Linked DNA regions of Arabidopsis thaliana. The protein of the gene in region 1 interacts with the protein of each later gene in a pairwise test. Each region holds a gene or a part of one and is shown in the gene's direction. Other genes may lie near its edges. The genes, in order: UPP, AT1G66820, ACR6 and AT1G13520.

What was found.
Region 2: the proteins of UPP (region 1) and AT1G66820 interact in a two-hybrid assay, tested with the Arabidopsis thaliana proteins (one large-scale study listed by BioGRID).
Region 3: the proteins of UPP (region 1) and ACR6 interact in a two-hybrid assay, tested with the Arabidopsis thaliana proteins (one large-scale study listed by BioGRID).
Region 4: the proteins of UPP (region 1) and AT1G13520 interact in a two-hybrid assay, tested with the Arabidopsis thaliana proteins (one large-scale study listed by BioGRID).

Annotation. Positions count from the first base shown.
Region 1 is NC_003074.8:19,952,004-19,960,978, reverse strand, and holds UPP (uracil phosphoribosyltransferase), read left to right. Parts: upstream 1-1,903; 5' UTR 1,904-1,972; coding exon 1,973-2,110; intron 2,111-2,129; exon of another isoform or gene 2,130-2,222; coding exon 2,223-2,324; intron 2,325-2,411; coding exon 2,412-2,490; intron 2,491-2,720; coding exon 2,721-2,779; intron 2,780-2,869; coding exon 2,870-2,947; intron 2,948-3,037; coding exon 3,038-3,119; intron 3,120-3,226; coding exon 3,227-3,275; intron 3,276-3,351; coding exon 3,352-3,413; intron 3,414-3,576; coding exon 3,577-3,644; intron 3,645-3,716; coding exon 3,717-3,772; intron 3,773-3,866; coding exon 3,867-3,914; intron 3,915-3,995; coding exon 3,996-4,065; 3' UTR 4,066-4,389; downstream 4,390-8,975. Other genes in the region: AT3G53910 (malate dehydrogenase-like protein), read left to right, coding at 533-554, 755-1,014, 1,079-1,123; AT3G53890 (Ribosomal protein S21e), read left to right, coding at 4,930-4,979, 5,094-5,226, 5,332-5,397; AKR4C11 (NAD(P)-linked oxidoreductase superfamily protein), read right to left, coding at 5,808-5,894, 5,994-6,242, 6,332-6,607, 6,776-6,863, 6,974-7,050, 7,385-7,435, 7,622-7,741; AT3G53870 (Ribosomal protein S3 family protein), read right to left, coding at 8,197-8,409, 8,495-8,681, 8,916-8,975. UniProt on the Arabidopsis thaliana protein: Uracil phosphoribosyltransferase (UPRT) that catalyzes the conversion of uracil and 5-phospho-alpha-D-ribose 1-diphosphate (PRPP) to UMP and diphosphate.
Region 2 is NC_003070.9:24,926,319-24,932,472, forward strand, and holds AT1G66820 (glycine-rich protein), read left to right. Parts: upstream 1-3,568; 5' UTR 3,569-3,774; coding exon 3,775-4,104; 3' UTR 4,105-4,309; downstream 4,310-6,154. Other genes in the region: AT1G66810 (Zinc finger C-x8-C-x5-C-x3-H type family protein), read right to left, coding at 1,295-1,615, 1,690-2,301; AT1G66830 (Leucine-rich repeat protein kinase family protein), read right to left, coding at 4,382-4,989, 5,067-6,154.
Region 3 is NC_003074.8:326,349-335,790, forward strand, and holds ACR6 (ACT domain repeat 6), read left to right. Parts: upstream 1-3,750; coding exon 3,751-3,761; intron 3,762-3,788; exon of another isoform or gene 3,789-3,876; coding exon 3,877-3,957; intron 3,958-4,102; coding exon 4,103-4,148; intron 4,149-4,250; coding exon 4,251-4,433; intron 4,434-4,520; coding exon 4,521-5,111; coding exon of another isoform or gene 5,112-5,162; exon of another isoform or gene 5,163-5,176; coding exon 5,177-5,281; coding exon of another isoform or gene 5,282-5,293; exon of another isoform or gene 5,294-5,365; coding exon of another isoform or gene 5,366-5,391; coding exon 5,392-5,718; 3' UTR 5,719-5,774; coding exon of another isoform or gene 5,775-5,805; 3' UTR 5,806-6,163; coding exon of another isoform or gene 6,164-6,574; 3' UTR 6,575-6,714; downstream 6,715-9,442. Other genes in the region: WRKY45 (WRKY DNA-binding protein 45), read right to left, coding at 266-455, 558-811; AT3G01980 (NAD(P)-binding Rossmann-fold superfamily protein), read right to left, coding at 1,399-1,677, 1,751-2,270, 2,394-2,485; ROXY1 (Thioredoxin superfamily protein), read right to left, coding at 6,164-6,574. UniProt on the Arabidopsis thaliana protein: May bind amino acids.
Region 4 is NC_003070.9:4,628,980-4,636,941, reverse strand, and holds AT1G13520 (hypothetical protein (DUF1262)), read left to right. Parts: upstream 1-3,642; 5' UTR 3,643-3,718; coding exon 3,719-4,038; intron 4,039-4,241; coding exon 4,242-5,085; 3' UTR 5,086-5,309; downstream 5,310-7,962. Other genes in the region: AT1G13540 (hypothetical protein (DUF1262)), read left to right, coding at 234-556, 646-1,468; AT1G13530 (hypothetical protein (DUF1262)), read left to right, coding at 1,813-2,020, 2,124-2,235, 2,365-3,202; AT1G13510 (hypothetical protein (DUF1262)), read left to right, coding at 6,255-6,574, 6,661-7,483; AT1G13500 (hypothetical protein (DUF1262)), read left to right, coding at 7,773-7,962.

The DNA of each region.
Region 1 (8,975 bases):
TTGTGTGTTTATAATAGTAACATTGGAGATCCTCGAGTGTAAAATGTCTTGTACGGGGTTGTAAACTTATATAGTTATATTACAGTGAAAATAGATATTGTACAAGTTATAAAATCCTAACCACTTGGATAATCTACACATCCTTCGATTACTTTTACAATATAGCTGTATCAATTATCTTGCATTTGTGCAATTATTATATTGAATTTCAATTGAACCAATTATAAAATTTATTATGTAATTTAGTATTATATATTTTATCAATTATAAACAATTCATACTTTTTGCTATTATATATATAAAAAAATTTTAATTTTTAATTTTACTAATTGAAAAAGATTATATCTAACCACCTAACGACAACTCCTTTCTCGGATCAAGTTTTTTCTTGGTTCTTCTTTTCTCGGGGTACTTCCTCTCGGATTCTCTATGTCTCTTAACTCGGTCTAACCCGCTAAAGCTTAGCTCACATGCGGGTCATAAAATCCGATTACCTTTTGCGAAGTATGACCGAGAGTTGAAAGAAATTCGGATGTTCCTTAGAAACTCGGACCGTGAGTCCTTCTTTCTCGTTTAACTTGGAGTGTTCAATCGTCGGGTTGGAAGTGAATCGGATGATAATCACCTTCCTTCTCGTCTTTGTCCTCCGTTTTAAGTTTTTTTTCTTCCGTGAATTCTTTTTTTCTCTTCCTCTTTCGCGGGACTTAACATTTCGAGTTATCTCCGATCTAGGCTTCCCGATCTTTCACTTCAGCATACGCTATGATATCGTTTCTAAAGTCACTCATTCGTGCTCTGGACGGAGATGATGACGTCTTCGATTTTGCTTTTGTGGCCTCTTCGGTCACCGAGCTCCCTTATTTTGCTACGAGGACAAAGATTGGGAAGAAGAGAATTGAGGAAGTGATAGATTCAGATCTTCAGGGACTCGCCAAATACGAGGAGAGAGCGATTAAAGCTATCAAGCCGAGAGTGAAAGTTACCATTGAGAAAGACATCACTTTGCTACAGAGGGTAAGTGAATCTTTCTTACATCCACAAGACATGGTTCTATGTGTGTTGTTTCATCTTTCTCTAGACTTTTGTTGCTATTTCGGTTTACAAACTTTTGATTGTGGTTTGATCTTTCTCTAAACATTTTTTGCTGTATTTGGTTAAAGACTTTTGAGAATCTTCAAACAGGGCTTAGGACTTCTTAATTGTGCCTGAATTCTCAGACAAAGAATCCGTGTCTGGTTTGTACAGTTTCAGAGATTTGTTACAAAAACTGATGAATGAGTTGAAGAGGAGAAGAGTTAAGGAGTCTAGTCTAAATAAGTTTTCAAGTTTATTGTAATAGTAAAACCTCTATAAATTAATACTCGATAAATTAATAATCTATATAAGATTAATAATTTTTTCCAGTCCCGAGTTGGGACTGTAAAAAGTGACACAAATTGATAAATTAATAAAATAATAATTTTTTTGAAAATCCTATGTAAATATATGATCCCATCAATATTATAAATTAGTAATTGTATAAATATAAAATATATATATATCTAATATATTATATGTAAGAAATTTCTAATATTTTTTTGCTTAAACTCGTATTTGTTCTTATTTGAATTTAGTTATAATATTTTACTGTATCAAAACTTTTGATATTGTTTTATAGACATGATAATTATTTTTTACTTGCAATTGGTTTTAGAAAGATATTCTCTATGATGAAAAATATCTTGTAGAAACTTTTAAAAAGTTACTACATTAGAAAACTCTCTATGTAAATTAATAAATTATTTATTAATTTATTCCTTAATTTGTAGATTTCTGTTTGGAAAGAAATTGCTAAAAATTAATATAAAAGCCCAATGGGCCGTGTAATAAGTAGACCCAAAGTTATTCGGTACAGTAGTGACGACCGGTTAATCTTCGCCCGCGCTATCGTCATTGCAAAAATCTCGAACCAGATTCGGACATCTCGTCGAAAATGGCGTGCTCAATTGGTAACGCTTTCAGGTGTTCTTCTGATACGCTGCGTTTTGCTCCCCGACAACAATGCAGCAGCCGCCTAAACCCTAATCCTTCCTCTTTCCTCTCCTTTAATTCCTCCCCAATTCTCGCACAGGTATCGAGTATATATATATATTTATTCTAATGTCCAAAGCACACTTTTCCAGTAACGCCTTTTGCATATTCAAACTGAATTTTGATTTTCGAATTTCTGGATTATTTTAAAGAATTTGGGTGCTTCTTCTTCGTCACTTTCCCGACGGACTATACGAGCTAGAACAAAAATGGCTGCGTCGGAGGCTTCCATTAACGGGAGCAACAGGATGCTGGTAATAAAACTCTAGGATTTCAATTTTCAGATTTTTTTTGAGTTTGATTTGAAAGTGAAAGATGTGAATTTGATTCTGGTGTTTCAGGTCTTTGTGCCACCACATCCTTTGATCAAACACTGGATCTCTGTTCTGAGAAATGAACAAACTCCTTGTCCTGTTTTCAGTGAGTAGATAAGATTCTTATGAGTATTTCTGCGATTTAACCAGTGTTTGTTGTTAAAGAACTGAATTTTACATCCATTTTTTTTTTTTTTTTTTTTGATTCGTTGGACAATCTTTAGCTCTTAGATTGGTGTTATCTGCTACATTGCGTTTGAATATGAGTTTTTTTAGGTTTGCTACTAGTATAAGTCTGTGTTGATCTTTAAAGCTTGAGTTTTTTTAATTATCTAGGGAATGCAATAGCTGAACTAGGGAGATTACTCATGTATGAAGCATCACGAGAGTGGCTGGTGCGTAGAATTTCACATCTCTATTATTCTTGAATTCTTCCTACCCGTTTTTTGCTTATTGTTTTTTGTTTTTTGCTCTATGCGGTTAAGCCAACTGTTGTGGGTGAAATAATGTCTCCAATGGGTCCTGCTTCTGTTGAATTCATTGATCCTAGAGAGCCTATTGCGGTTTGTTTATCCCTCAAACTCTTCCTGTCTATATTTTCTTTTCGACCTTACATGTAAGCGTTTCTAATTCTTGGTTTTGTCTCTGTGTAGGTTGTTCCGATATTAAGAGCTGGTCTTGCTCTTGCGGAACACGCATCCTCAGTTTTACCTGCTAATAAAATTTATCATTTAGGTTAGTAATCTAGCTATATATCATCTCTTGCCTGAACTTCGGATGTCAAAAATGAAAACTTTTATCAAATAGCTTATTGATGTCCCCGTGCTTCTTTTCTTTTACAGGAGTAAGTAGAGATGAGAAAACACTTTTACCATCGGTGTATCTTAACAAGTAAGAACTTCTCTGCAGCATTGTGTTTGTAGTTACTGAAGTGTTTATAATAACACCTTTGATACATCTTCTTTAGGTTGCCTGATGAATTTCCCAAGAATTCAAGAGTATTTTTGGTCGACCCAGTGCTTGCCACAGGTAAGAAAGTCTTATCATTTTAGCCACCTCCATATTAGAAGTATAGTTAGGGTTTGATGTTCAAATGTACACGATAATATGTGAATGTGAACGCATGACATGGTAATACGAATGTTTCATAGCTAGAAGCGTAGGTTTAGTAACTTAGTAACTTGTATTTTAGGTGGTACCATAATGGCGGCGATGGATCTATTGAAGGAACGTGGTTTGTCTGTTCAGCAAATCAAAGTGGTAAGCATATATATAGGAAACAGCTTTTGTCAGAAATCGAAGTGTTAATTGTTTTGATTTTTCTGATTACAGATTTGTGCGATTGCTGCACCTCCTGCACTATCGAAGCTTAACGAGAAATTCCCCGGGTAATCAATAGCAAAAGATCAACTCTCACCTTGCTTACCATTTAGTTAACTCTCTTTTTACTAAACTGTTTGGCTACTATTTGAAACATTTCAGGCTTCATGTATATGCTGGAATTATTGATCCTGAAGTCAATGAAAAGGGGTAAGTCATTAGGTTCTTTGGCTTTCCATATGAAAACTGGCGATTGTATTTTAATGTCCTTATGTATTTGTCATGAACTAGGTACATAATCCCTGGGCTTGGAGACGCTGGAGACCGCAGTTTCGGGACAGAAACACATTGGGTGAAGTGATACTTGTATGAGTTGTTAAACTTTAACAGTCACAATCGTTAGATTATATATTGTGTCTCTTGTACTTTGTTTTTGATGTGTGATTTCAGGTTCTTGAGAGGGTTTCGATAAAGAGTCAAAATTTCACAAACAAGAAAAACTGAATTCCTCATTATTACAAAACAGAGAACAAACTTGTCAACCATTTTATGTGTATCATTCTCAATTGTCTACCACAAACCATTTTGGGAAAAAGTATGCAAGAAAATCTGAAAAATTCATCCATGAAGCAAACATTTGAACCAATAATAAAAGTTTGTTATCAAATTGAATGAACTTAAGTTACTACCAAACTGAACCAGTATTTATGGTTTGGTTACGTTCGATTCCGGTTACAATTAACTGTCGGTACAATTCTGGTTGAAAAAGTTTAGTATTTCGGTTTGATTTAATTTTGTATACCGCTCTAATTGGATCGGTTTTTATTGCTCTTCAATTAAAAGTTGAAGGGTATAGTAGTCATTCCTATGAAATAAGCAAACCCTAGCTCGCTACTATAAATCTAATAAACCTATGAATTAAGCAAACCCTATCTTTGTCGCCGCCAAACCTCTCTCAGATTCTTCTTCTTCCTCGCAGGTGAGAATTTCTCCGTAGTATCTTAATCTCCTTTCACTGTATTGCTAATTAACGCATCGGAATAATCTAGGTTTCGATTTCAGAATTAGTTATCTCGTTGTGTCTTTTGTTGATTATATATTATTGTTGAATGTGATCAATTATTCTTGATGAATCTCTTAATTCGAGGTTCTATTGCTCATCTGATTAGTTTTTTTGTTTGTTTACTTGCTCAGATCGATTTTTTTTTGAAGCTAAATCTCAAAAATGGAGAACGACGCAGGTCAGGTCACAGAGCTCTACATTCCAAGGAAATGGTATATATCAGCTCTCTTTGTTCTCTGTGTAACGTTTGATTAAAATCTTAAGCTAATTGTCTTAATTAAGTAGCCTAAGCTGATTCTATTGTTGTGTAATGGTAATTTGTTTAGCTCGGCAACAAACAGAATGATCACATCAAAGGATCATGCTTCAGTTCAGCTTAACATTGGTCATCTTGATGCTAATGGTCTCTACACTGGCCAATTCACCACTTTTGCTCTCTGCGGATTTGTCCGTGCTCAGGTTTGTGAATTTCCACTCTGCTAATTACTTTATAATCATCTCCACAGTTGTTATAACAAAGTTCATGATTGTATATGTATATTGACATTATGATTGCATCTGCAGGGAGACGCAGACAGTGGCGTGGACAGGCTCTGGCAGAAGAAGAAGGTCGAAGCTAAACAACAGTGAGAGACAATCTGACAATGTCATAAGCTCTTGTTTGTTTTTTGAGGTTTCGATTTATTAGCTATGTGGCTTTGTCATTGAATTGAAAATGTTAGTTTCTCTTTATGCGAATTCATGTTTTCGATTTTTCTGCTTTATTAAAGATAATTATTAGGCTTTGAGGCCAATGGAATCAGATTCTATCTACAGTCTAATACTCGTCTATATTTCTCTTTCAAATATAACTGTTAGATTATCTATCATCAACCTCTCGGATTAGTGATTTACTGTATGAACATAAGAGATTGTTAATATGTCTGCAAAATCCTACTTTTATTGAAAATTGAATCGTTTACACATTCTCGATCAAAGCTTAAAGCAGTGGAACTTTGTTCTTTTTCAACTTTAAAATTCAACAAAAGACATCTTTTGATTCAGATCTCACCATCCCAAAGCTCTTCAAGTGTTTTATAAGGACTCAACGTCTCATGAACAAACGACGTGCCTTGGACTAACCTAGCCTGCACAGAGATGATTCAAAATCCAAAATACAAGAGGTTACAGTTAAGACTACTCACAGATACGAAATTTGCAGAAATGTGGTTTATTGTTTCACTTACCTGCTCTATCTTGGAAAACTTGTCAAACATTTCTTTTGGAATAGACCATCCCAAGACATCAAAGTTCTCTCTGATTCTTCCTTCATTTGTGCTTTTGGGAAGTATACTATGACCCATTTGAAGTCCCCATCGAAGCGCGGTTTGTGCGGGAGACTTCCCGATTTCTTTAGCAATCATTTCAATAACCGGACTCTTTAAAACATCGGCCTTCACCCACGTTGTTCCAGGAGATCCCAATGGCGAATATCCCTGCCACAATCAACATTCACGAAGTGTATATAAATATGACATTCGGACTCATTAAATGATTTGGAAATGTTTAGTGTTTTAAAACTTACTGAGAGGTGGATCCCTTTGGACTTGCAAAACTCATGTAGCTTATGTTGTTGCCATGAAGGATGACATTCCACCTGGTTTACAGCGGGAGGAACACGAGCAGCCTCCACAAGATCTGAGAGTTTCTTTGTAGAGAAATTACTTACGCCAATGGCTCTTGCCTTGCCTGAATCAACCAGTGCTTCCATTGCTTTCCATGTGCTCGGAATATCGATAGGCATAATGTTCTCAGGCTTAAAGTCAACAGTACCTTTCTTCAACCGAACAGGCCAGTGCATCTTGAAAAAAATATCAAATGAAACAAATCAAAGTATAAGCAAGCATATGTATAGTTTCAAATCCAGAGATCCGGACAATTCAGGCTAGATATTGAAGAAAGGAACGGATCTTGAAAACTGTTAGAACTTATTAAAAAATCAGCATTTGTTCAAAGAAGTCGTGCTTACGAGATACAAATCAACATAATCAAGCTGCAGATCCTGAAGAGTTCTGTTCAATGCGTCCTGTACATCCGGAGGGTCAAGATCAGTCAACCTGTGCTTGCATAATTTGTAGATTTTAATAGGTTAAGAGGCTTAAGCAAACGAGGGAAACTGAAAATGCATAAAAATGATAGAGATGCAGAAACTTCATGAACAAAATACCAGATTTTTGATGTGATGAACAGCTTCTCACGCTTCACTACGCCATCATCAAACAACTTCTTCAGAACTTTCCCAATCTGCAGGTTAAAAAAAGCTTTCAATTTCTCCATCAAGAAAAACAAAAAGCCACATTTCAAATGAACTTGTAAACAGTCTATAACAAATAACTCCATTAATCCTACATAACTTAAAGCTAGTTTAAGAAAAAGATACACAAGACAATGTGTGCAATTGTCATTCCTAAATATAAATTGGTTAACCTTAGTAAGAATTACATAAAACAGCCAATCGAGTAAGAACGATCATACTATATACTGTTCTATATAAAGGCAAATCAAGTAACGAGCCGTCAAAAGATGAACTATATGAAGCAAACTATGGAAGATACAGATTCGGATCGGTGAATTTTACCTCAATTTCATTGCCATATCTTGAAGCACAATCAATATGCTGATATCCAATCTGCAGAAAACGAAATGATTATTAAGTTCTTCTGCTACTGAAACGAATTTCCAAATCAATCCGTAAATCCCAAGATCAACCAATATTGAGGGAAAAACCAAACTATGTAAGGATCAGAACATCTAATCAAAGATCTCTAAGGATCAGTCAAATGAGAAACCATGAGACGGAAAATCACAGAAGAACCTTCACAGCGGCGGCGACGGCGTCTCCAACGACGCCAGGAGCAGCTTGCCATGTCCCGAGACCAACCGATGGGATCTTTGCTCCGGTGTTGAGTTGGAAGAATCCGATTTCGTCCGCCATTGTCAGAGCTTTAGAAGTGAGACTTAGATCTCGAGAACCTTTTACGAAAGACGGAGGAGGTTTGTGTCGACGGAGCGGGAAAATCGTCGGAGTTTTATAACAACAGACGGTTAGTATTCAAACACGTGGATATAACTAAACGCAAATACTTGTGTTTTCATATTTCATGTGATGAGAGTAATTAGTAATTAGTAATTACGATTAGTTAATTCGATGGATGTACCAAAATTTGGACAAACTGGTCTTGTAATATTACGAATTAATTCAGAATAATTTGCCAAAGAGAGAATGATTTATGAAACTAAAAAGGGCTTTTTCAACAATGGAAACTTGAGATAATTTTCGAATAAGAACAGAGGAAACGTGTCTGATTCGAAGATACGAGAAGCTATAATCTGTCAAAAGAGCAAGAACAGTTGAAAACAAAATCACATCGACTAGTACAAAGGATTCTTTTAGGCGACTGGGATCATCGCAGGGTAATCTACGGCTGTGAGTGGTGCATCTGCTACGAGAGCAGCCGGGGCAGCAACCTGAGCAGGTGCATAGATGGCCTCTTCTTCTTTAGGAGAATGAATGATCACAACATCAGGCAATGGTGTCTTTGGTCCTGATATGCCCTTAGGGTCCCAATCAAGCATAACCTTCACCTTGATTCCCAACACACCCTACATATTCGGTTTAACAACACTTTAATTAGACGTTGTTGATTTTTTACTTAACTCTAATAAGAACAACTCAGACGAAACTCACTTGTCTAAGCAAAACATGTCTCACTGCAGAGTCTATGTATTCCTTAGTTGGTTGACCAGATGACACCATGTAGCCATCTTTGAACTTCATAGACTTGGCTCTGGCAGCACGAAGCTTTCCACTCACGATAACCTCGCATCCCTTAGCTCCACTCTCCATAACAAACCTCAACACACCATAGCAAGCCCTATACAACATATAACCATTGCATGAGAACTTAAAGTCATTACACTTAGAAGCTAGACAATACCTATTTGAAACCATACAGAGTCTATAAGAACAATTACTCTATACTAAACATACAACTATAACGATCGGTGAATGCTTATATACACTAGTAACCTATCCAAATCAGTCTCTAATGATAAACTAAACTGATCAAACAAAGTAACATAGCAAACGAACTAGAGAAATGTCGTACCTACGAACAGCGAGACCACCAAGAAGCTTGTAACGTAAAGACTCAGCCTGAGCGATGGCA
Region 2 (6,154 bases), on another chromosome or scaffold:
TCACAATGTAATGAAATATTTGATTATAATCTTCTTTTATCAATACTACCCAAAGACTGTTTAAATCTGAGAGAGTGGTAAAATTTAATCTTTCTCTAAAGAAACACTCTTTCTAAAACGAAAATGGTCAAATTGCATGTATTTGACCTTCCAGAACCTAGATTTCAAGGCACAACAGTTTACTTTAGCTTATCAAACAAGCATACTGATATCGAAAACAGTCTAATATAGTAAAAAGCAATATAACATATACTGGTAACGTTACCAGTTAATACCACTGTTAGTACCAAATTTAACCAATAGACAAAGAATCCTCCATATGAAAGGCAAATCTAACCCAACTCGATCTTCCTACTCTTAAAGATTCACAATGTATCTTCCAGCTGGTAAGTAGCCCAATGACATTCTACAAACTTCATCGACCTTGTAAGTTGAAACCATTTTAGCAAAACAAGTAGTTTTAGATCAACTAATACATACAGTCATACAATACAGATCCTATGACTTAGACCAAGTTTTCTTTAGCGGACGGCAGGAACAAACTAGTTACAACTTCTAGTCACAAAATCGTCAGGAAACAGTTTTCTGCAGAGAAAATTGCTGTTCTCTTGCCAACCATAAACAGAACAACTTGAGACATAATACATCATCCGACACAATCACTGCATTCTTCTCCAAATGGTAAGACCAGCAAAACACACAGTTCGACATAAACTAACACATGCCCATCCTAAGATCTTAGTCTATGTTTATCAGCAAAACAGAAACTTGAAAGCCAGTAAGCAGAGATTACACATAAATACACAAACCAAGATAACCAACAAACCAAATCAATCTTTTCCCATGAATGTATTACCACCACTGCAGCAATTAGAAAGAGAAAAACTATAGCAGCACAACAGTTTAGGGAAGAAAGTTGCATACTTATGAACAAAGTAGAAAACTTTATCAATATAAATTTCATATCTTTGTTGAATCTAACATCCTTTTCAAGTCTCTCCTGCTTAATCCAAGAGAATACAAACAACATATCAAAAGAATTAACATCTCGAAGTATAAAAGAGAACCACACATTTCTTCAATTCTCCTTTCTTATCCATCCCTAATTATATTCCTATAATCCTATCAAACATTTACTTAACATCTTTCCCTTCCTTATTCCTATTGCAAGCAAATATGTTTCTTCCCAATTCATTACCCAGAAAAGTTACGATATTTATAAGGTATCAAATCTGAAATCTGTACACAACCACTAATTATTACCCTTTTTCAATGACCTTTCTTCTTCTCCAGATCAGCGAGTAAGCATCATCATCATCATCCTCTCTTGATCAGTAAGTGAGTGACGGAAATGGCAACGGTGACCGTACGGACACATAGCTCCGGTGACCATCATTCTGCAAACCTCAGTTTTGTAGCGTGGATGCCTAATCACAGGACGTAGCTCGTCGATTCCGTGAGCGAATTGGCAATTATCGCCGTAACAACAAGCTCCAGTCTCTTGCCATTTGTTACAAAGCTCCGTCTTCATCATCCCTTGACGATATACCTCAAGCTCTAATGCTTCTCTCTCCCCTTTTGTTTGTACTACACACACCTTTTGAGAAGAAGACACCTTCACAAAACATTTATGACGTCATTAATCAAATAAAAACAAATTTTAAATTTTAAAATTACAGTGAGAATTACCGAGTTAGAGCTGAGTTGACTCGTTTGGAGATCTGACGCTTCAAATCCATGGTTGATCTTGAGATATCCTTGAGATCTGACGGAGATGCTCTTAGGCAACGAGTTTCTCTCTTGATTGTTTCTCTTCGCGGAGCGAGAATCGGAGATCTGGTGACGGAATTGACGGTTATGGATCGGCGCCGGAGGAGAGACGGAGGAGGAGGATGAAGTAGAGATACGAATAAGTTTGAGTAGATCTGAGTTTTCAAAGCGGAGAGAATCGTTTTCGTGACGAAGAGAGTCAAGTTCCGTCATTAGAGATTGAAGACGGTTAAGGCAAAGCTCGTAATGCTCGTTGAGTTCGTCGTACTCGAGGATAAGTTTCGCTTGAAGAAGACGATGCTCTGTAGTTGTATCGACGCGAGATGGTGGTGAGGAAGAGGACGGAGGAGAAGGAGAGAGAGATTCCGGTGAGAAGATTGAGTTGTAGAGTGATGCGAAGCTTGCGGCGAACTCTTCTTGGTGTTTGTTGTTGAAGCTTTGTTCAGAGATCGGTGATAGTGGAGGCGGCGATGAGTTTATCGCCGTTACGCAAGCTAGATCTGTAACAGTAGACGCCGCGAGTTTCTCCATTGTTGCAATTTCTCGAAAGCTTCCTGAAGAAGATAACACAGAAATTGACAAAATTGAATCCGTTTAGATCTACAAAATCACAATCGGAAACTGAAACTTCCCAGAGAAGATAATAAGAGCGAGAGAGTACCTGAATTAGCTTTGAAACTTCTCAGAGAAGCGAAAGAGAAAGAGCGGTGAAATTAAGATATGAACGATGCTCTGTATATATATATATATATAGAGAGAACCAGAGAGGTGAGGAGGAAGAAGAAAGAGAGAAAGATAATATGCGGGAGAGACTACGAGAAGATTGTTACGCTACTTAATCTAGACCATACGATGAGATTATTTAAGGATCTGTTTGAGAAGCGAGTGTATTTAATTGGATAACGAATTGCTTCTTCATGGTTAAGTGAAGTGTAGAGGAATATTTCTCACCTACTTTCACTTTCGCGCCAACTTCAGAACCGTTAAAGATTTCTATGTAACAGAATATTATTTGTTTTTTAGATAACTTCAACAACAAAACTAGTGTTTAGTTTTACACATACAGTGAGAACAAAATTTAATATTCTATTTATATTGCTGTATAGTTTCTTAAGCTTAAGATTATAGTGACAATATTCACCATAAAAAATGTTAAATCCATTTGGTAGATCATATTTAGTCAATAACATGCATCTTCCATCCCAAAGGAGGTTTACTAGTTCGAGTATTTAATAGCTTAAAACATTAATAATATATTCATTAAGCAAGTATATAAATATGAACCTCAAGCAAAAATCTATTTTGAAAAAAAAAATAGATGGAAACAAAAAGTTTGTTAGGAGGGGAGGTTTTGTTTGTAACTTGGAGAATAAGGAAGTATGTATTGGTGTGTTTGAAGAAACAAAAATAAAGAAGAATAGGTCATTTTATTAAGTTTGGTTGGGCCAATCATGAATAAGAATAGTTAATGAATTGATGATTAAATTGGTTTTTTGATATATGCATGTATGTTTAGTTTCATGTTGTTAACGACCGTAGTAAGGTAAGGAATATATGTGAGTTTTGTTTGCTTAAAGAGCACAACTTTAACTAACTATGGTCCCTCTTTCTTTCCTATGTGTAATATACTTCAATCAAAATCTTTCGTTGTAGCTAACTAACTAGAAAATGTTTCCTTCCTTCTAACCCAACAACCCTGCCCAAATTACCTTCTTACCCTTTCTACGACATTTTAAAAACAAAATATCATATAACTTAATCCAAATCTGTATTTAACATTTTCTTGAAGAATTTGTATCTCATGTGTATCTTTTATCATTAAAAAAAACTGATAAATAGGAGAGAATCTGTAGAGACTTAAATGGGTTAAAGCCCAATATATGCGACAATAAGCCCAATAAATACCTCAACGCATATTCATCTTTTTTCTCAAATCTTATCTGATTTTCTCATCACTCATAAATTCACAATTCAGTGATCGTCATTTGCCCAATCACAAAACCAATGGGATCAACTAATAAACTCTGGAGCCGTAAACCAGACGTCAAAACCGGGAAATCAGAATTTCCGGTTACCAGATTCCTCCGTACACAAATCGATAACATCAAGACAACAACCGTCGGTCCCGGAATCGGCGGCGGCATTGGCTGCGGCGCTGGAATCGGCATTGGTCTCTCCGGCGGGCTCGGAATAGGTGCCTCTGAAGGACTTGACCATTCTAACGTGGTTCTTGGATTCGGTATTGGTTGTGGTATCGGGTTCGGGTTTGGATACGGATTTGGAGTTGGCGGCGGGTACAGTTTCGATGACATCAAAGAGAGATTTGACCTATGAAAAAAAGCTCCGGTTCATAATTCCGGGTCGGGTTTGGGTAAAAGATTTTTAAAGCATTATGTTAATTTTGTACTGTATTAACAGTTTTGTTAATTATATAAGTTCAATAAAAATATCCTCCCTTGTGTCCTTTTATTTTTCATAATAATATCACAATTATGAATGATTAACAGAAAAACCATAAAAATTATCACATGAAATTTATGAAGTAATCTGAAAATTATGAAGTAAACACATAATCTAATTAAAATTATTACTTTTCATTAATTAATAATAATTAAATAGAAGTTACCAATTTCTCGAAGCTCTCCAATACACTTCTCATGTGTGGTCTTTTATCTGGGTTCTTCTGCACACAAGCTAAACCGATCTTGATGACTTGAACCATACTATCTTCCAAATCTCTATCACGAGCTAAAACCGGATCAAGAACATACCAAGCCGGTTTATTTCTCTCACTAGCCGATTCAACCCACATAACCAAATCCATTTCTGAACTAACCGGAGATTTTCCGGTTACCATTTCGAGTATCACTAAACCGAATGAATACACATCCCATTTCTGAGACGGTTTAGTCATTTTTGAAGCTGCTTCAGGAGCTTGGTAATATGATTCTCTAGAGAGGATTGGTGAGCTTGTCTCCATGGGAGAGATTTGGTCTGATCTGATATCTGAAGACGTGTCGACGATACGACCTAGACCGAAACCGGATACTTTCGGTTCAAGATTCGGTCCTAGAAGTATGTTGCTTGTGTTTATATGTCCATGGACATACCTTTTGGGACTAAACTCATGAATATAAGTTAATCCTTTTGCTATTCCTCTCAATATTTTTAACCGGACCGTCCAGGTTAGTTGCTTGCATGACACGCTACCAGGTCTACCTGTCATAAATTTTTATGAATCAGTCTTGAATCTTAACTATGGTCATAGATTTATGCGATTTTGACACTAAAATTACCTTGAATTGCAGAACCAAGGTCACCATTTGGTATGTAATCATAAATCAGGAGTTTCTCTTCAGGAGACCAGCAACAAGCCTTGAGATTCAAGACATTAGGGTGCTTGATTTTCGCCATTGCTTCGACATCAGCTAGAAACTCTTTGAGCCGTAGCCAACCTTTATCTTCTAATCGTCTAACGGCTAACATTAATCCATTTTCAAGAACTACCTTGTACACAAGCCCGATCCTGCTCTTCCCTAGAAGAAAAGCCGAGGCTTTTAGAAGCTGGTCGAGGTCAAATTCGATTTCCGGGTCCATTGGCATGAAAACTTGTTGATTTTTGTTCTCATCTAGCGTTTCAGATTCTGAATTCCCAGTCTTGAAACAGAGAAACTCTGGCTTTGTCGTCTTCTTCAGTTTCTCGTTTATATGACATGTTCGGTTGTTTTGATCTTTGTTTGCACGAGCCGATGCTTTTCGGAGATAGTAGATGAATAATGAAGCAAGAAAAATGATTCCGGCGACTGTGCCTCCAGTGGCTGTAAGGATGATGCAGAGTCTAGAATGATGGTTGGCTCTTCTTGTATATAGTTGAGAAGGAACTACTTGTGTGTTTCTTGTGCTGCAAGAAATCTTTATCGGTAATCCACAGAGGAAAGGGTTCCCTTGGAAAGCATTTGGACCGGCATTCAACAGAACGTTGAATTTTGGTATCGGACCACTGAGATTATTGTAAGAAAGATCGACATAGAGAAGCTCAGGGAGATTTCCAAGACTTGTTGGAATCATACCTGAGAAGAAGTTATGAGAAAGATCAAGTGTACCTTTCAGATTCTCCAGACTTCCTACATCTTCGGGGATCGTTCCAGTCAAGCGATTGAAAGAAAGATTCAGTGTCCGAAGATGAACCAAGTTAGAACCTAACCCTGTTGGAAGATCTCCAGAGAAACTGTTCTTGCTAAGAACAAGCGTTTTCAGCTTCTTGCATGGAATAAGCGACAAAGAAATCGAACCGTTGAAAGAATTCTCCGAAAGATCCAGAGTCATTAGACTCTTCAAGCTACCAATCTCTTCTGGGACAAACCCGGAAAAAGAATTTCCAGAA
Region 3 (9,442 bases), about 20 Mb from region 1:
GGTTTGGGATACATAACATTGTTTTTGTAGATGATAGACTCATCATTGCTTCTTTATGTTTGGTAATTTGATGATGAATATACTTTCGATTACAGGGCAGCCGAGACTAAGACACCAAAGCAGATGGATTCAAAGGTCCCATAAAGACAAAGATAAGGATTAGTATTTTTGAGATATGTGAGTTGCTGCTAGTTTAAAAGTAAAGGTCTGATGGTGTGAGCCCAACGTTTTTGGGAAAGTAAATATTACAATCCAATTCCTCTAATCATTCCTTCAAGCAAAAGGGAGGGAAGATGTGCATTTGTGTCAAGATGTGGTGGAAATTATCAGAGGGTTTATCAACGGCATGTGTATGAACACCTTGGTATGTCGTCACCACCACTCCTTCGTCTCCCCATTGCCTCTGCACTTGCTTCTTCACTCTGCATCCTTCTTCTGTGCACTTATAATAGCTCCTATATATATATATATTCATATTTTACATGTATGTATATGAGTCTCTTATTTGATCACCATAGCAAGCATACAGTATCATTCATTGATGATTAAGTACGTACCTGGGGAATGGATTGTTCTTGACTGCTTTTTGGCCGTACTTCCTCCACCTGTATCCATCATCCAGTATATCAACCTGGCTTCTTGTCTGGAACGCGTACCTCGCTTCTCTCTCTTTCTTCTTCTTCTTACTCCTTGGCTTCTCTTCGGATGATGTTGTCGGCTGAGCAGAGTTGTCGACCCCATGAAACTCTGTCAAGCGAGGATCAACCGATGATGAACATGGAAACAACACATCACACCTCCTATCCTCCATTTCTTAACTCCCTCTGCGTTTATGGTGGGAACTTGAAAAAAGCCAAGGAGGGGAGGGAGAGAAAGAGAGACGTACACGGTAGCGAAGATGCCAGAGAAAGTGATATATATTGAAAATATGGCTACATTAGCGGATCCATCACAGAAAAAGAGTTTTGTGGAAACAAAAAGGTGTGGCGGCTACATCATTCTGATTTATATTATTATATATGCAACTCCTTCAAATTTTGGTTCAATGGATTCAAATTTCAAACATATTTCTTGGTCAAGAATCAATATGCATCTAGATCTCTGAGGTAATCATTCTTTTCTTATTTGATTTACAATTTGGATTAGCAAGGTTTCCAAGATAATATCCAATATCACGTGTATTTGAGGTTCACCTACCAAACTTGATTGAATTCAATAAACAATGAGCTCGAATGATGTTGAGATTGTTGACTATTTTGGCTCTTTGCTTTCTTCTATACTTGTCAAAAGTATATAATCATTGATTCCATGGATTATTCATCCCTCCATAGTTATTCAAACTTGATTCATATTCACTTTTTACACACAACATAGAATTATAATAATACTAGGCATTGATCACATGTAGGATTTGAGACGGGGTCGCGTAAGGGACTGCGCTCCATCCACCAAGACAGTGGTGCCTGTCATGAAGCGTGAGCCATCGCTGATCAAGTAGATAACAGTGGAGTAGAGGTCTGTGTCCGGGTTGAGCCACTGGCCGAGGGGTGCAGCGTCCTTGACCAGCTTCTGCGCTCGGTCTCTTCCCACAGAAGCTGTATACTCATCATCCAGATGCAGCCCTCTAGAGATCATGTTGACCCGTATCTTGTGCTTCCCGAGACTCATGGCTGATGCCTGAAACCCAATCATCAACAAACATATTCAAGTTACGAACGCGATGTGTCTAATTAGGAGCTAGGATGCATACCCGGACGAGCTGGTGAATAGCGGCAGAAGTTGAAGCGTAGGCATCAGCGCCAGGGTAAAGCGCCCTCTCTCCGCTGGCGATAGTGGCCATGAAGACAATGGAGCCTCCTGATCCATGGTCCTTCATCCTTGTGGCTACAGCCTTCAAGAGAAACCATGGAGCGGTGAGATTGATCTTTGTGATTCTGTGGAACTCATCTTGAGAGACTTGAAGAATGTCCTGCACCTTTCCTGCAAGAAAGAAAGATTGTTGAATAAAGGAATGATCAACACACAAGAGCATCAAAGGCAGGGTAGTGAAAAACAAGAAGCAAATTAAACCTTGGTAGGTATAAGAGTTGAGAAAAGCATCGAAATGGCCGGAAAGTTCCCATGCCTTTTGGACAGCGGCATGAAAAGCAACTTCAGAGTCAGATTCCATGTCGAGTGCTATAACATCGGCAGGGAAGGCTCCCTCAATGGAATCTCTAATCTTGTCTACAATGCTCCTTAGGGAACCCTCATTTCCCATCATTACCAACCTAGCAACAGTACATTGCATTTTTTGAAGGTTAACTATAGACACCAAAGTCAACCACAACACAAATCGGGGCTAGAAGAAGAAACACAGGATAGGAGGAAAGAAGACAAAATGAGAGACTCACTTGCAACCGTGTTTGGCTAGATGGAAAGCGATGTTTCGGGACACCTCGTCGCCGTTGGATGTCATCAACACTCTCTTCGCCGGATTTTCCATTTTGCCAAAGTAACTCTTTATAAAACAATTCAGCAGATTCAACAAGACTTAAGGGAGGGAGGGAGTGAGATTGATTCGATCGCCAATTCTAAATAACTATAAAGAGTGGCTGCAAAAGCTCTTACCGGAACTGTGTCTGTGTGTTACCAAAACGGCGAAACAAAGCAAATAATTAATGCCTAACCACATGATCCACCACGTTCTGTTGTTACCTTCTTTAATTTGTAGATAGAAGAAGATGGTGATTGATAACGGAGATGTATTTTTTTCTTTAATAAAAAGCCCACTTCAAGGCCCAGATCCATTTCTGTACTTTGTAGGTTTTCCAACTTTCCCGGCGCCGGAAGCAAGCGTAAGTTATCACTGTTCCCCAACCAAATTCCATCATATCCTATTATCCTACTACTAATGGATCCATCTCCAAGATTCCTAATTTCACTTTGCTACAAACTTATTTCGTGTTTTTGGTTTATAATTAATAGCCGTTGTTGGTTATGAATATGTAAGCATAAAAGGCATTTGGGAGCTCCAGACAGACAATGAATCATCAACATCAGGTACTCTGTCTTTCGTTTATGTTTCTGTTCCATTCTTTTGAAATATATAGAGGAGGAACTTGTTATTAGCTAGTCCATTGATCAACACACAAAGAGTGAGAATGAAAGCAATTCCTCCAACCAAAAGGATGCTTTCCCTTATTGATTTAGTTGGACCAATATATAAAGAGAACAAAGGAGGGTGTTGGTAGGTAACAAAAGATTCTAGGTGGTGGGAGGGTAGTGGATTTTTGAAAACCGTGTGTTGACTTAATGAAAGAGGTGTAGAGTAATGGGATTGTGAGAGTGTTAAATAATAAAAGACTAGGATACGAAATCATTGTGACATGTCAATTTTTCAAGTGGGTGGTGGAATCCGCAACAAAATATAAAATAAGAAAAATGCTTTGCTTGCTTGCTTGCTCTACTTTGCCTTCTTTTTGCAACCAACATGACGTTATGCTGGAAAGGAATCAAATTGTTACTTGGTCATGCACCTGTGAACGTTACGGAGAGGTCTACCTCAAGATAACGAATGATCTATTATACTAGTAAATACCACATCTTGCTTGAGAAGGAGAATATAATCCCCTTTATGATCATCAAATTGACCCCAAATCTTCACCCGACTTTTGGTAGTATTCGAACAATTATAACAGAATCTAAAAGTTGCTGTGCCCGTGCCACGTCATCTCTAAGAATCTTTAGTGGCACGTGCTCGATCAACTAATGAAAACAAGGTTCGGTTCCGGTGGCCTACCATTTTTATCCTCCTTCAACTTCCCTCTCCCTCTCTCTTTTAGGAATTTTCCTCAGAAATTGGAGGACTCACACTCTTCTGGGTTTCTGCTGCAGCCAAATCACCAAGGAGATACATACTACAACCATGGATGATGATGAATATGCCAAGCTCATCAGGAGAATGAATCCTCCCAGGTTTTTCTCTTTCTCTCCATACTCTTTTATTGTTTTCTAGGTCCTCTGTTTCTCCATGCTCCGTTTGTGAGCCTCTATACCCTTGTAAAGATTCCAGCTGCTAAAACATTCATCTTTATTTATGTATGTTTCATGGTGGATACAGAGTTGTAATAGACAACAACGCAAGCGACGATGCCACTGTTATTCAGGTAAATAAATCTGTCTCTTCAAATTGTTCAAGTGGTTCTGTACCAAACAAAGAGATTTTGAGAAAACAGAGTTCCCTGTTTGTTTGTGGTGCTAAATAAAAGGTTGATAGTGTGAACAAACATGGGACTCTATTGGAAGTAGTACAAGTGCTCACTGATATGAATCTTGTGATCAAGAAAGCTTACATCTCTTCCGATGGAGGTTGGTTCATGGACGTTTTCAAAGTCATCGACCAAGATGGCAATAAGATCAGAGACACTCAAGTCCTTGACTATATCCAAAAGGTTTCTAATGTATTTCATCACTTTTTTTCTTTCATTTTCAACAGGTTTTTTTCTTTGTGTAAAACGTTTGTTGAATTCATTGCGCAGAGGATAGAGAGCAACGCTGGGTGGTTCATTCCACCTTTGAGAAGCTCAGTTGGTGTAATGCCCACTGACGAATACACATCCATTGAGCTCGCTGGAACTGACAGACCCGGTCTCTTGTCTGAAGTATCTGCTGTTCTCACAGACCTTCACTGCAACGTTGTGAACGCTGAGATATGGACTCACAACACCAGAGCTGCAGCGGTTATTCATGTCACGGACAATTCAACTCATTCTGCCATTACTGACCCGATTCGCCTTTCCACCATCAAGGAGCTGCTGTGCAATGTAGTGAGGACAAACAGCGGCTCAAGAGCTGCGAAAACAGTCTTCTCTTGTTCTGATACACACAGGGAGAGACGGTTGCATCAGATCATGTTTGATGATAGGGACTACGAGGGAGTCAAAAGAGCAAGGACATCGGCGTCAAGGCCCAGTGTCACACTAATGAACATTGAGAAGGATTATACCGTTGTTACCATGAGGTCCAAAGATAGACCAAAGCTTGTGTTTGACGTAGTCTGTACTTTGACTGATATGCAGTATGTGGTGTTCCATGGCATGGTCAGCACAGAACCAGTGGAGGCTTATCAGGTAACTACTCAACGGCCGTCTGTTGGGATCTCTCTTCTAACAATAATATGAGTGTTTTGCTGCAGGAATTTTACATCCGTCATGTGGATGGACTTCCCATAAACTCAGAAGCAGAGCAAGAACGTGTCATACAATGTCTGGAAGCAGCCATTGAGAGGAGAGCATCGGAGGTAACCAATTAGGAATGTGAAAATTCTCTGTCTTGGCTCAAATTACATTCTGTTCTGCATCGATTTCTGATATACTCAAGACAGATTGTGCATATGAAACATACTTTCAGGGTTTAGAGCTGGAATTATCAGCAGAAGACCGAGTTGGTCTTCTCTCAGACATAACCAGAACATTCCGAGAGAACAGCTTAACCATTGTGAGAGCAGAGATATCAACGCGAGAGGGTAAGGCTAAAGACACGTTCTACGTTACAGACGTGACTGGAAACCCGGTTGAATCAAAAATCGTGGAGTCAATCAGACAACAGATAGGAGTAAGCAAGCTGAAGGTGAAGAAGAAGGAGAAGGAGCATTGCTCTGTTCTTGGTACAAGCAGGCCTTCGCACGAAACAACTACAATGGGGTATTTGCTAAGTAACATCTTCAAACCCAAGTAGCTTCAAGCTTCACCTATCTCACTCATAGTCATAGAGTGTGTGTGTGCTTTGTATAGGTTAGACAGAGTAGGGCATCATTTAAGCTGATCGTAGCGATCCCCTCTCAACAAGTCCCTTGTGTGTAAATTTGTGTGAACAAAATAACAGGAACTGCCTTTGAATAGATACGGCGTCAGTTAATACCGTTGATTAATGGATCCAGGGGACATTAATAAAGATGCAAAGTGTTTACTATTATGATTTAATGAGAGCATTCGAAAGATCAATAAGAGATGAAGAAGAGGAAGACAGAGAAAGGTGAGCTTAAAACAACTCTCTCTCTAATTACAAACTATAATCTAAAACCTGTCATTACAGCCATTGACTAGTTTCCTAATCTTCCTCCACCACATTCTCTTACAAGAAAACTTCAAATAGAAAAGAAAAAAGAAAGCAGAGGAAGGGATCAGAGCCAGAGAGCGCCGGCGTCTTTGAGAAGAGGAACGAGAGAGCCGTTTATGTGAGAAGCCATGACTCTGTCCATAGCTCCAACCAGTTTACCGCCGATGAAGACGACCGGGAGAGACCCTGGAGAAGAGGAGCCGGAGCAGCCGAGGAGACGAATGAGGGCTCGCTGGATGTCGCCGCCGTAGGGGTGGAGGTCGAGCTCGTGGACGGCGGGGCTGACGCCCATTCCTCTGAAGAGACCCTTCACGGCGTGGCACATGCAGCACGTGCTCACGCTGAAGATCACCACCGCGCTCTCAGAAGCCAGGGACTCTATACGAAGCAGACCAGTGTCAGCCACCATCCCCAAACCGCCGAATCCTAAGCTGCTCATCTTGTATGATCCCCACGATTCTGTCTGGTATTGCATCTTTGATATCTCTTCTCTTTCTCTTGTTACACTTTTGTTTGGAAAGAAACTAGATTAAACACGAATAAGAGAGAAAGAGGGATTGGCTAAAGTTTGTTGGTGAGAAGAGAGTGAGAGCCATGCAGAGTATTTATAGAGGCCTACTACACCTCTGAGTCTAACTCTGTTTTCCTCTAATTATTAGTATTATTGTTTCTTTCTTTATTATTTGTGTATAATAACATGACCTCTATTTACTTCTCCATGAAAAAAAGAAAAAAAGTAACAAAACATATGAATTAAAACCGATGACATCAAGATAGTGATTGCTGTTGAAAACAAACACCGATAATAGTTATCGGAATAATTTCATTTTTTTGTAAAAAAAAAAAAAAAGGCAAGGAGAGTTGAAGAACAGGCTTTTATCAGAAGGGAGTTGTTGGTAATAGACGGCTCCGTCTGTCCTTCTTGTCGGCTCTTACCGCTCTCACCATTAATTTTCTTACCACTTAATTCTCTCTTTTTCTTTCTTTGTATTTTCAGATACATGATCATAAAGTAAGAAACCATAATTTCCACGTAGATAAGCTCCCTCAATCTGTACAATATGGATTTTGGCAGGGTTTTTCTTTTATTCCATTCTACTCTGTAAAATATATAATTCCATACGACCGAGTAATCATCAATCCAGCAAATGTGTAATCATCACATCATAATTTGTTAAGGAGTCAGAATCTTATGTTTCTTATCCAGATTAATAGCATCCTCCTTATATATATAGAAAAAGAATTATGACTCGAGAATTATGATGTGTACATATTTTATAAGAACAGCACCCATGAATTAATTTGGATGGGTTTAATTATAACAATATTAAAATTTGAACAATTTTATATAGAAAAAGCCTTTTTTTTTTTTCTTCAAAGTTTACAAAGTTTGTAGTTTGTGACATGCTTTTGGCTTCCACGCTTGTGTCCTTTATACACGAAATGCCTTTTTTGTGTGTCTCAGGTTTGAGCTCCACAATAAATTAAATCTTAAAATGAGATTTAAAACGAAGGATTGATGGAAGAGAAGATTTTATATGTATATTGAATATAGTAAGAGAAGTCCGTACAGTTATGCTCCCTCTAGCTGAAAAAGAAAGTTACTTCTTTTAGTGTTTAAACTCATGTATTTCTTTTCTGGAAAAAAATCTTTGCATGAGAAATCGTAAAAGATAAATAATCTTGTCGGATTGTGGTTGTCGGATCGCTTTACCTTTGATTTTTGATTTTTTTTTTAAAAATCTAGTTTTCCTGACAGAAGACTTACGTAACACTTGTCATACAATGTTTGATCTGTTCAACCGATTCTCCGATATTAACCCTTTCGAGTAGCGTATGTACATGCTTTTCAATAAGGGTATTTTGAACATTTCTGAAGTTCGTATTCAACGCCTGAAACTTGAAACTTTGAACATTCCTTATTCCTTTGTATATTGATCTAGCTCTTTTCTGTTTTTGGCTTTTTTTTTTATTCTTCAAAGTTTAAATATGTATATACAAGGCTAACATTATACAAAACTTTAAAAATCTTTCGTTTTATGATTATCAATAAAAAGATGATTTTCTTCTTGTAAAAAAAAACATTTTAGAGAGAAAAAGAAAAAAAAAAAAGAGATTTTGATCGATCGGACGGGTAGGGTTAGATGGCAGGAAACGAGAGCCCTCTGGCCTATATTAATTAGTACAACAAAATATATAAATTGATATCAAAATAAAAAATAGAAAGAATACGAGCGTGATGCTATCTTTTCAGCTTTATCTGGTCTTTGCCATTTATAAATATCTGTGTGTATGTCTCTCTTTGCACAATATTAATGTTGTGCTTTGTTATAAATATATCTTCATTTCATATTTTTATATTTTCAAATTTCGTTTTTTTTTTACCTCTTACGGTGAAACAAAGCCGATAGGGAGATGAAAGGTGGGGTTTGAACTAAACCCTAAAATAAGCTTTAGAGAGTTCTATCGTCGAAGTATAATGGTCCGAGTCTGATTCCAACACCTGACCAAGATATGTCCCTACGGGTTATAAAACAATGTATATATTATATATATACAAACAGCTGGCTCATATATATCTGTAATACACTGATACAGAGGAAGGTACATATCTGTGCCTATGTATGCGCGTGGTGTAGCTGTATATGCTATGGAACATGTATATATGTTATAATGTATATTGAATTTCCAAAAAGCTTTAGTTAGTAAAAAAATAAATGGAAAACGTAAAAACAAAAAAGAAGGCAAAAGAAAAAGGAAGATATCGCATGTCGGTGTCGCGGCGAAAAGGCGGTGAGGGTATTGTGGGAGTGCTCACGAATTCCCCTAAAAATCCTCATTTATAATTAGTATATAACCCTAAGCCCATGCAAACTGCAATCCCACTCATCTTTATCACTAACACTAACTATCTTATTATTTCACCAAAAGATAAAAGTATTTCATCGAGATATACGTCGATATGTTGTTCTGCATGCAGGTGCATGGCCCTCTATTATTTTTTGTCGACCACAAGTTTTTGTCTGTTTACAACATAAGATTTCACTTATTATTGTTTTTTTATTTTAATTGTTTGTTTATCGCACTGATAGTCTGATACACACATTCACGAACTGCGTTTATCCCTCATTGCCACCTAATAATTAACTTAGGCTTCACAACATTTGTATATCCCAATTCATTTATTATATACAGTTGTTTACCGCTACATATATGTGCATAGTTAATCTAGGAAATTAATGTTCTAAGCTTTTATCGTAGTTAATATTGGAACAAAAATATATAACCGAGTAACAAAAGTCGTAGTAAATAGTTTTAAATATAATATTTAACAAAAAAATAT
Region 4 (7,962 bases), on another chromosome or scaffold:
ATGATACAGAGAGGCGAAGACTTTGTTTATCTTATTTTAGAGACACTTGATGAGAGGTGAAATTAGGGTAGGCTAGGATCTTTAAGGAGATCAAGTAAGTTTCTTTGAAGTTTCCTACAACGAGCCATCCAGAAAAGTCAAGTCACCTTGTCAGTTGCTGTTCTACAGAGTTGTTTACTCTATAATATAGGATCAAGTTTTTCTCCAAGTCCAAAACTCGATTTAGTGAAACAATGTACATCACAAGGAGTTTCTCAGAGTACCGGAGGAATCCAGCAGAGCTAACACAGCCTCCTCCTGAGGGTCCAAATTCTGGAATTTTGGTAATCCAAGACCAACACTCACGGACACGGGCTACATCTTGCTTCGGCTCGTGGTTGGTTGTGGACTCTTCTCTAAGTGGTTTGCCATTGCCCCAAAATCTTAAGCTAGCAGTCACATTCAATATTGGAGGTGATGACAGCACTCGTGACCCAGTTGTGTTCATTCCTGTTCTTGATAAGCCTCTATCTTCAAACTGTTATTACGCTATTAAACGGCATGGGAAGCATTCAGGGTATGAAGTTTAATCCGCAAATCTGAAATTCTTGAATCTTTCTTCTTATATAACCTGAAAAAGTTTATAAAATTTTGGTTGCATTGCAGGGAAGCGTCTGGAAGTGCAAAAGAGGACGATATAGTCTCCTGCTGCTTTTGCTCTAGTTTTGTTCCTGAAGCCAAACCAAAACAGTTAGATCCTTTTGACATGTACCAACAATTCAAGATCCATCAAAAGGAGCCTTCCTCGCGTTGTTACTACGCAACATCTGTCGCTCCTGACGGGGTCCCACCATGGTTTCTGAGGAAAAAAGAGTGGACGGTTGAATACTCGAGGTTCCAAGACTTTGAACTGAGAGATGATGCAAAAGGACTCATCACAGAGCTTCGTACTGAGCTTCCTCTTCTTGGTATGAGCACTGTGGTTGGGAAGTGGTATGTCCCTTTCATATTCGTGAAAGAAAGAGAGGTAAAGGATCAGATCAAGAATTCGATGTATTACAGCATGACTCTTGAACAAAGATGGAAAGAGCTTTTTTCTGATGAGAACGACAAAAGCGAGAACCGTGATGTTGTCGTTGATGTAGAAGTAGAAACAGAAGTTGTTAAGCTTGAGGGACAAATGATTGAAAGAGGTCTGGAAGCAAATGGGTTTGTCTGGTTTGGGGTTGGAGACAAAAAGATCGGTTTAGGATCAGTTGTTGTTGAGAGGATGAAATGGGAAGAAGAGAGATTCGGGTGGACAGGCAAAGGCGACAATGAGCGATCAATGACAGTTAAGAGATTGGAGAAATCAACAGATGGTAGCCTTTGGAAGCATTATCATTGTTATGTTCTGATAGAGAGCTTTGTCTTGAAGAGAATGGATGAGAGTTTGGTCTTAACATATGAGTTTACACATGTAGATAAGCTCAAAACCAAATGGGATTAAGCTTATCACGCAACCAAATCTGCAAAAACTTTCTCAATCTCAATGACATGAATCCATTGGTCAGTGTGATTTATCTATAGCCATTTTCAATTCGGTTTTTTCCGTGTATTGTGTTTTGATATTATCTTCAATCTTTTTGGGTGAAGAAAGAATAAAATATAGAGTTTGTTTGTCTTCTTACTTGTTAGTACTCATCCACAGGAGATTCTGACAAATGTTTAAGTCAAACCTCAGATTATATTTATAAACAATAGCTTAGTAAACTTCCTTGCACGTTCTTATGATCCTTTGTTTTATATAAACGATGACAGGTTAGATCTTGAGTAACAAAGAATCAAGGAGAGATGTATGTAACAAAGCGTTTGTCCGAGTACCAGAGAAACCCATCGGAGCTTACTTTCCTTCCAACGGAAGGTCCAAACTCCGGCGTATTGGTGATTCAAGACGAAGAATCACAGCCTACATGCTGTTTTGGCAAATGCTTTGGTTGTGATCTCAATGGTTTGCCGTTTCCTCAGAACACAAGAGTCACCGTTAAATACCAAATCGGACGTTAGTTACTAGTCATTTCACTCCTAACTTTCTGTCAATCATTTTACTTTACTCTGTTTCTGTTTCTTCTCTGTTTATTATCTAAGCTTTGATTTCACCATAGATGGAGATGACAGAATTGTCTTGCTTGACTCGGTCGCGTTCATCCCCGTTCTTCACCAGCCTCCTTCTTCCAATCTTTACTACGTTATAAGGCGAAGAGGGAAACATGCAGGGTATGATTCTATTGAATCTTTCTCATGTTATGTAGATATCAAAGTTTATCGTTTTAGTTTTAATTAAGCCAAGATTAATAGTTTAGCGGCCTAAATTCACATCTTTTAAAACTTTGATTGGTATTGCAGAGAAGCATGTGTTAGTGCAAAAGAAGAGGACAAAGTTTCTTGTTGCCTTTGTTTTACTTATGTCTCTAATGCTACGCCAAGGCTTCTTGATCCTTTTGACATATACCAACAATTTGAGATACATCAAAGAGGCTCATCAACTCGCAAGTTTTTCGCTACATCTGTTGCTTCAGATGGAATACCACCTCGGTTCCTGAGGAGAAAAGGCTGGACCGTTCCTTTCTCTGCTTCCCAAGACTATGGTTTGATTGATGATGCAAAGGGTGTAGTTGATGCAAAGCTGCGCTATGAGCTTCCCGATTTCGGTAAGAGTGTAGTAGTTGGAAAATGGTATGTTCCGTTTTTGTTTGTAAAGGAAGGAGATGCTAAAGATCAGATGAAGAAATCGATGTATTATAGTATGACACTTCACCAAAGATTTGAAGAGGTTTTCTTCTGCGAAAACGTTGACAATAAAAATTGCGAGGTTATAGTTGATGTGGAGGTAGAAACAGAAGTGGTTAAGCTTGAAGGAGAAAATATTGGAAGAGAGACAAAAGGTGTGAATTCAGATGGAGTTGTCTGGTTTGGTGTCTCAGAGACTCAGAAGATAGGTATTGGGTCTGTGGTCTTGGAGAGGATGAAATGGGAAGAAGAGAGGTTTGGGTGGTCGAAGAAAGGCAATGAACTAAAGTCTAGCATTAAGAGAACTGAGAAATTTGAAGGCGGTGGACCACAATGGAAGAGTTATAGATGCTATGTACTGGTAGAGACCTTTGAACTGAAGAAAACTGATGGGAGTTTGGTATTGACGTATGAGTTTAGACATGTTGATAAGTTGAAGAGTAAGTGGGATTGACTTTATTTCAGCTTCTTTGTGTGTTATGTGTTCAATTTATGGTGTGTTCATTTTATTGAAAGGTTAATGCAAGTTCATGTGTTATGTGGTGAAGCTAACTTGCACAAAAAGGGTGTATACTCTAAAAGGAAAAAAACCTCAAAAGTTTTGTAATTATTTTGTAGAAAAGCATTAGCTAGTGCCAAAGAGTAAGACAGAGTCCCCTGTTTCTTTTGCTTCAGTTTCTTCCTGAAGCTAAGTCACAAGAAGCAGATCCTTATAGTTAGGTCAATCATAATATAAAGAAAATATAGAATTTGTTTGATTGATTCTCCATGATAGGTTTGTGAAACCAGGTCAAGGTCATAACTTTGGAATTCTAAAGTTTGAATTGAACCATAAAGTAAAAAAATTTGAAAAGTCTTCAAACGATAACTTGTAAAATTTGCTTACCGCGTTATCCTCAATACATGGTGCAATATATAAACATATCATATCTCTTCTAATCAATAACCTGATCAAGATTCTGAATTCAAGATGTATGTTACAAGGCATCTCTCCGAATACCAGAGAAACTCGTCGGACTTGACACGATCGTTGCCGGAAGGTCCAAACTCCGGCGTACTTGTGATTCAAGACGAAGAGTCAAAACCGACTTGTTGCTTTGGAAATTGCTACGATGGTGAACTCAAAGGCTTACCGTTCCCACAGAACGCAAAGCTGACTGTGACTTACAGAACCGGAACTGGTAATGACAGGCGCAGTTACCATGACCAGGTTCTGTTCATTCCGGTTCTTGATCAGCCTTATTATTCGAACCGTTATTATGTCATTAAACGACGTGGGAAGCAATCAGGGTATGGCCAAAAATCTTAATTACTTTCTTGACTTTGTTTTGTTTTTTTGAGGTTTTAATCAATTTATGTCATGCATGGTTCGAGATACTTGCTTTTGGGTTTGGTTTTCTTGGGATGGTTTCGGTTTGACCGGATTGGCCACCCCTTTTGACCTGACTTGCACAAATGGTATTCATTAAAAAAAAACTAATTTTGGATTGCAGAGGAGCTTCGGCGAGTGCAAAGGAAGAAGACAGAGTCCCCTGCTGCTTTTGCTTCAGCTATGTTCCTGAAGTTAAGCCACAAGAAGCAGATCCTTATGATATATATCAACAGTTCGAGGTCCATCAACGTAAACCATCATCAGGCTATTACACTGCCACTTCAGTTGCTCCTAATGGGATACCACCAGAGTTCCTTAAGAGAAAGTACTGGACCGTTGAGTATTCGAATTCCCAAGACTTTGGTTTGACAGATGATGCAAAAGGGATCAACACTACGCTTCGTTCCAAGCTTCCCAACGATATGAATACAAGTGTTGTGGTAGGGAAATGGTATGTTCCTTTCATATTTGTGAAAGAAAGAGATGCAAAAGATCAGATTAAGAGCTCACCTTATTACAGCATGACGCTTAAACAAAGATGGGAAGAGGTTTACTCATGCGTAAACGTTAACTACAACCAAAAAGGAGGAGAGGTTGTAGTTGATGTTGACGTAGAAACACAAGTGGTAAAGCTTGAGGGACAAGAAACTATTTCTAGAGAGACAAGTGGTGGTGGATTTGTTTGGTTTAGTGTTTTAGGGGATGAGAGACAAGACAAGAAGATAGGTCTTGGGTCTGTTGTCGTGGAGAGGATGAAATGGGAAGAGGAAAGGTTCGGATGGTTAAACAACGGTGAAAGATCTAACATTAAGAGATCAGAGAGATTTGAAGGCGGGTCATCGCATTGGAAGAGTTATCGATGTTTGGTATTGATAGAGAGCTTCGAATTGAAGAGAATGGATGGGAGTTTGGTGTTGACATATGAGTTTACGCATGTTGATAAGTTAAAGAGCAAGTGGGATTGAGTTTTTTATTCATCTTTGTTCAGTTTCTTTGTGTGTCATCTTTTGGTTCAATAATTAATTTAATGAATAAGTTTTATGCAATTTCATGTAGTAATTAAAAAAAAAAAAAAGTTCGCATTTAAATTCACGTAAATTTCAATTATGAATCATTTATTTGATCATTCTTCTTAAATGTTTTTTTTTTAATATTGTAAACTTGTAACCCTCATTCCAACAACTATGGCCCTCCATTTTTTTAATATAAATCAAGTTCTTTGAAAGTTGCTGATAACGTGTTTTGATTCTACTACCAATTTAAAAGTCTTCACATACGAGTTTAGACATGTTTATAAGTTGAAGAGAAAGTGAGATTGAGAGCTTTTCCAATTTGATTCTCATATCTCCATAATTTATTTAATTTTATGATGTCTCTTAAATTCTGCTTCAAGTTCTGTTTTTTGGGGGCTCTGTTTCAATACAAAACCTCTGTTCTGCAGATTGCTCAAATGAACAATTATGAAGTTAATGGTCATAATTTGGAACTCAAAGTAGATAAAAACTTAAGTTACGTGATAGAATTTAAAAACAATGTGATGTGAATTTAAAAACTGCCAAAAAGGACTTCCATAAAAGCTAAGTCAAAGATCTCGGAAAAGTCTTAAAAAACAATGTTGATTGAGCCGCTAGTGAGATTATTTTTTCTAGTGATTTGAGTCTTGTCTTGTAGGATTCTTGTTGCTTCTCTACCACAACTATATTTTGTAACTTTTGCTCTCTCTTATCTCAATTTCTTAAAGGTTTGAGATGGTAGAGTTACTTGACTTGTGAATTTTTTGGTTTGAGGGTGCCTTAGAAATTGATTGCGTTAGAATGGTTGGAGCGTTGAATACTTGACTGATGCAAAAGGTGTGGACAGAATCTTCATGATGCATGCAGAGTAGTGTCATGATACAGAGAGGCAAAGACTTTGTTTAAACTATTTTATAGATACTTGATGAGAGGTGACAATAGGGTAGGCCAAGATCTTTATGGAGATCCAGTCAAGTTTCTTACAACGAGCCATCCAAAAAAGTCAAGTCACCTTGTGTTCTGAAAACTTGTTGAGTCTATAAAATATGATCCAAGTTTTTCTCCTAGTCTAGATATAAACGATCACTCGATTTGGTTTACTCTTACAAAAATCAGTGGAAATGTATGTTACGAGGTGTTTGTCAGAGTACCAGAGAAATCCAGCAGAGCTAAGACAGCCTCCTCCTGAGGGTCCAAACTCTGGAATTTTGGTAATACAAGACCAACACTCACAGACACGTCCATGTTGCTTCGGCTTGTGTTTGGTTGTGGACTCGTATCTAAGTGGTTTGCCCTTGCCGCAAAATCTTAAGCTAGCAGCCAGATTCAATGCTGGAGAAGATGACGCTACTTGTGACCCAGTTGTCTTCATTCCTGTTCTCAATAAGCCTCTATCTTCAAACTGTTACTACGCTATCAAACGAGTGGGGAAGCATTCAGGGTATGACTTTGAATCTTGAAGATCTGAAATCTTGCATCTTTCATCTTATATAACCTAAAAAGTTTCTAAATTTGTTTTGGTTGCAGAGAAGCGCCTGCTAGTGGGAAAGAGGAAGACAGAGTCCCGTGCTGCTTTTGCTCTAGTTATGTTCCTGAAGCCAAACCAAAACAGCTAGATCCTTATGACATGTATCAACAATTCATGATCCACCAAAAGAAACCATCCTCGCGCTACTACTACGCGACATCTGTTGCGCCTGACGGAGTCTCACCATGGTTCCTTAAGAAAAATAAGTGGACAGTCGAATACTCAAGGTTCCAAGACTTTGAACTGAAAGATGATGCAAAAGGACTAAACACAGAGCTTCGTACCGAGCTTCCCGGTCTTGGTATGAGTGTTGTGGTTGGGAAGTGGTACGTCCCTTTTATATTTGTGAAGGAAAGAGACGTAGAGGATCAGATCAAGAGATCGATGTACTACAGCATGACTCTTGAACAAAGATGGGAAGAAGTTTTCTCTTATGAGAAGGATAAAAGCCGAAACTATGATGTTTTAGTTGATGTAGAGTTAGATACTGAAGTTGTTAAGGTTGATGGACAAGAGATTTCAAGAGGTGTGGAAGCAAATGGGTTTGTCTGGTTTGCGGTTGGAGACAAAAAGATTGGTTTAGGATCAGTTGTTGTTGAGAGGATGAAATGGGAAGAAGAGAGATTCGGGTGGACTGGCAAAGGCGACAATGAGCGATCAATGGTAGCTAAGAGATTGGAGAAATCAACAGATGGTAGCTTGTTGAAGAATCGTCATTGTTATGTTCTGGTAGAGTGCTTTGTCTTGAAGAGAATGGATGAGAGTTTGGTCTTAACATATGAGTTTACACACGTCGATAAGCTCAAAACCAAATGGGATTAAGCTTATCACGCAACGAATCTGCAAATGCTTTCTTAATGATAATGACGTGAACTTCCATTGGTCAGTGTGATTAATCTACGTACAATTGTAGTATTTGGTTATTATCTTAAGCTTTTCTATAAAATATTGAGTTTTCTATGTCTTCTAAGAACTCATCCACAGAAGATTCTGTCAAACTTCAGATTGGTTCAAAGAAACAATTATACTTATAAACAATAGCTTGCACGTTCTTATGATCTTTTCTCTTATATAAACGATGACATGTTGAGCAACAAAGAATCAAGGAGAGATGTATGTGACAAAGCGTTTGTCTGAATACAAGAGAAACCCATCGGAGCTAACATTGCTTCCGACAGAAGGTCCGAACTCCGGAGTATTGGTCATTCAAGACGAAGAATCACGGCCTACATTGAAATGCTGCTTTGTCAATTCCTTTGATTGGGAACTCAATGGTTTGCCGTTTCCTCAGAACACAAGAG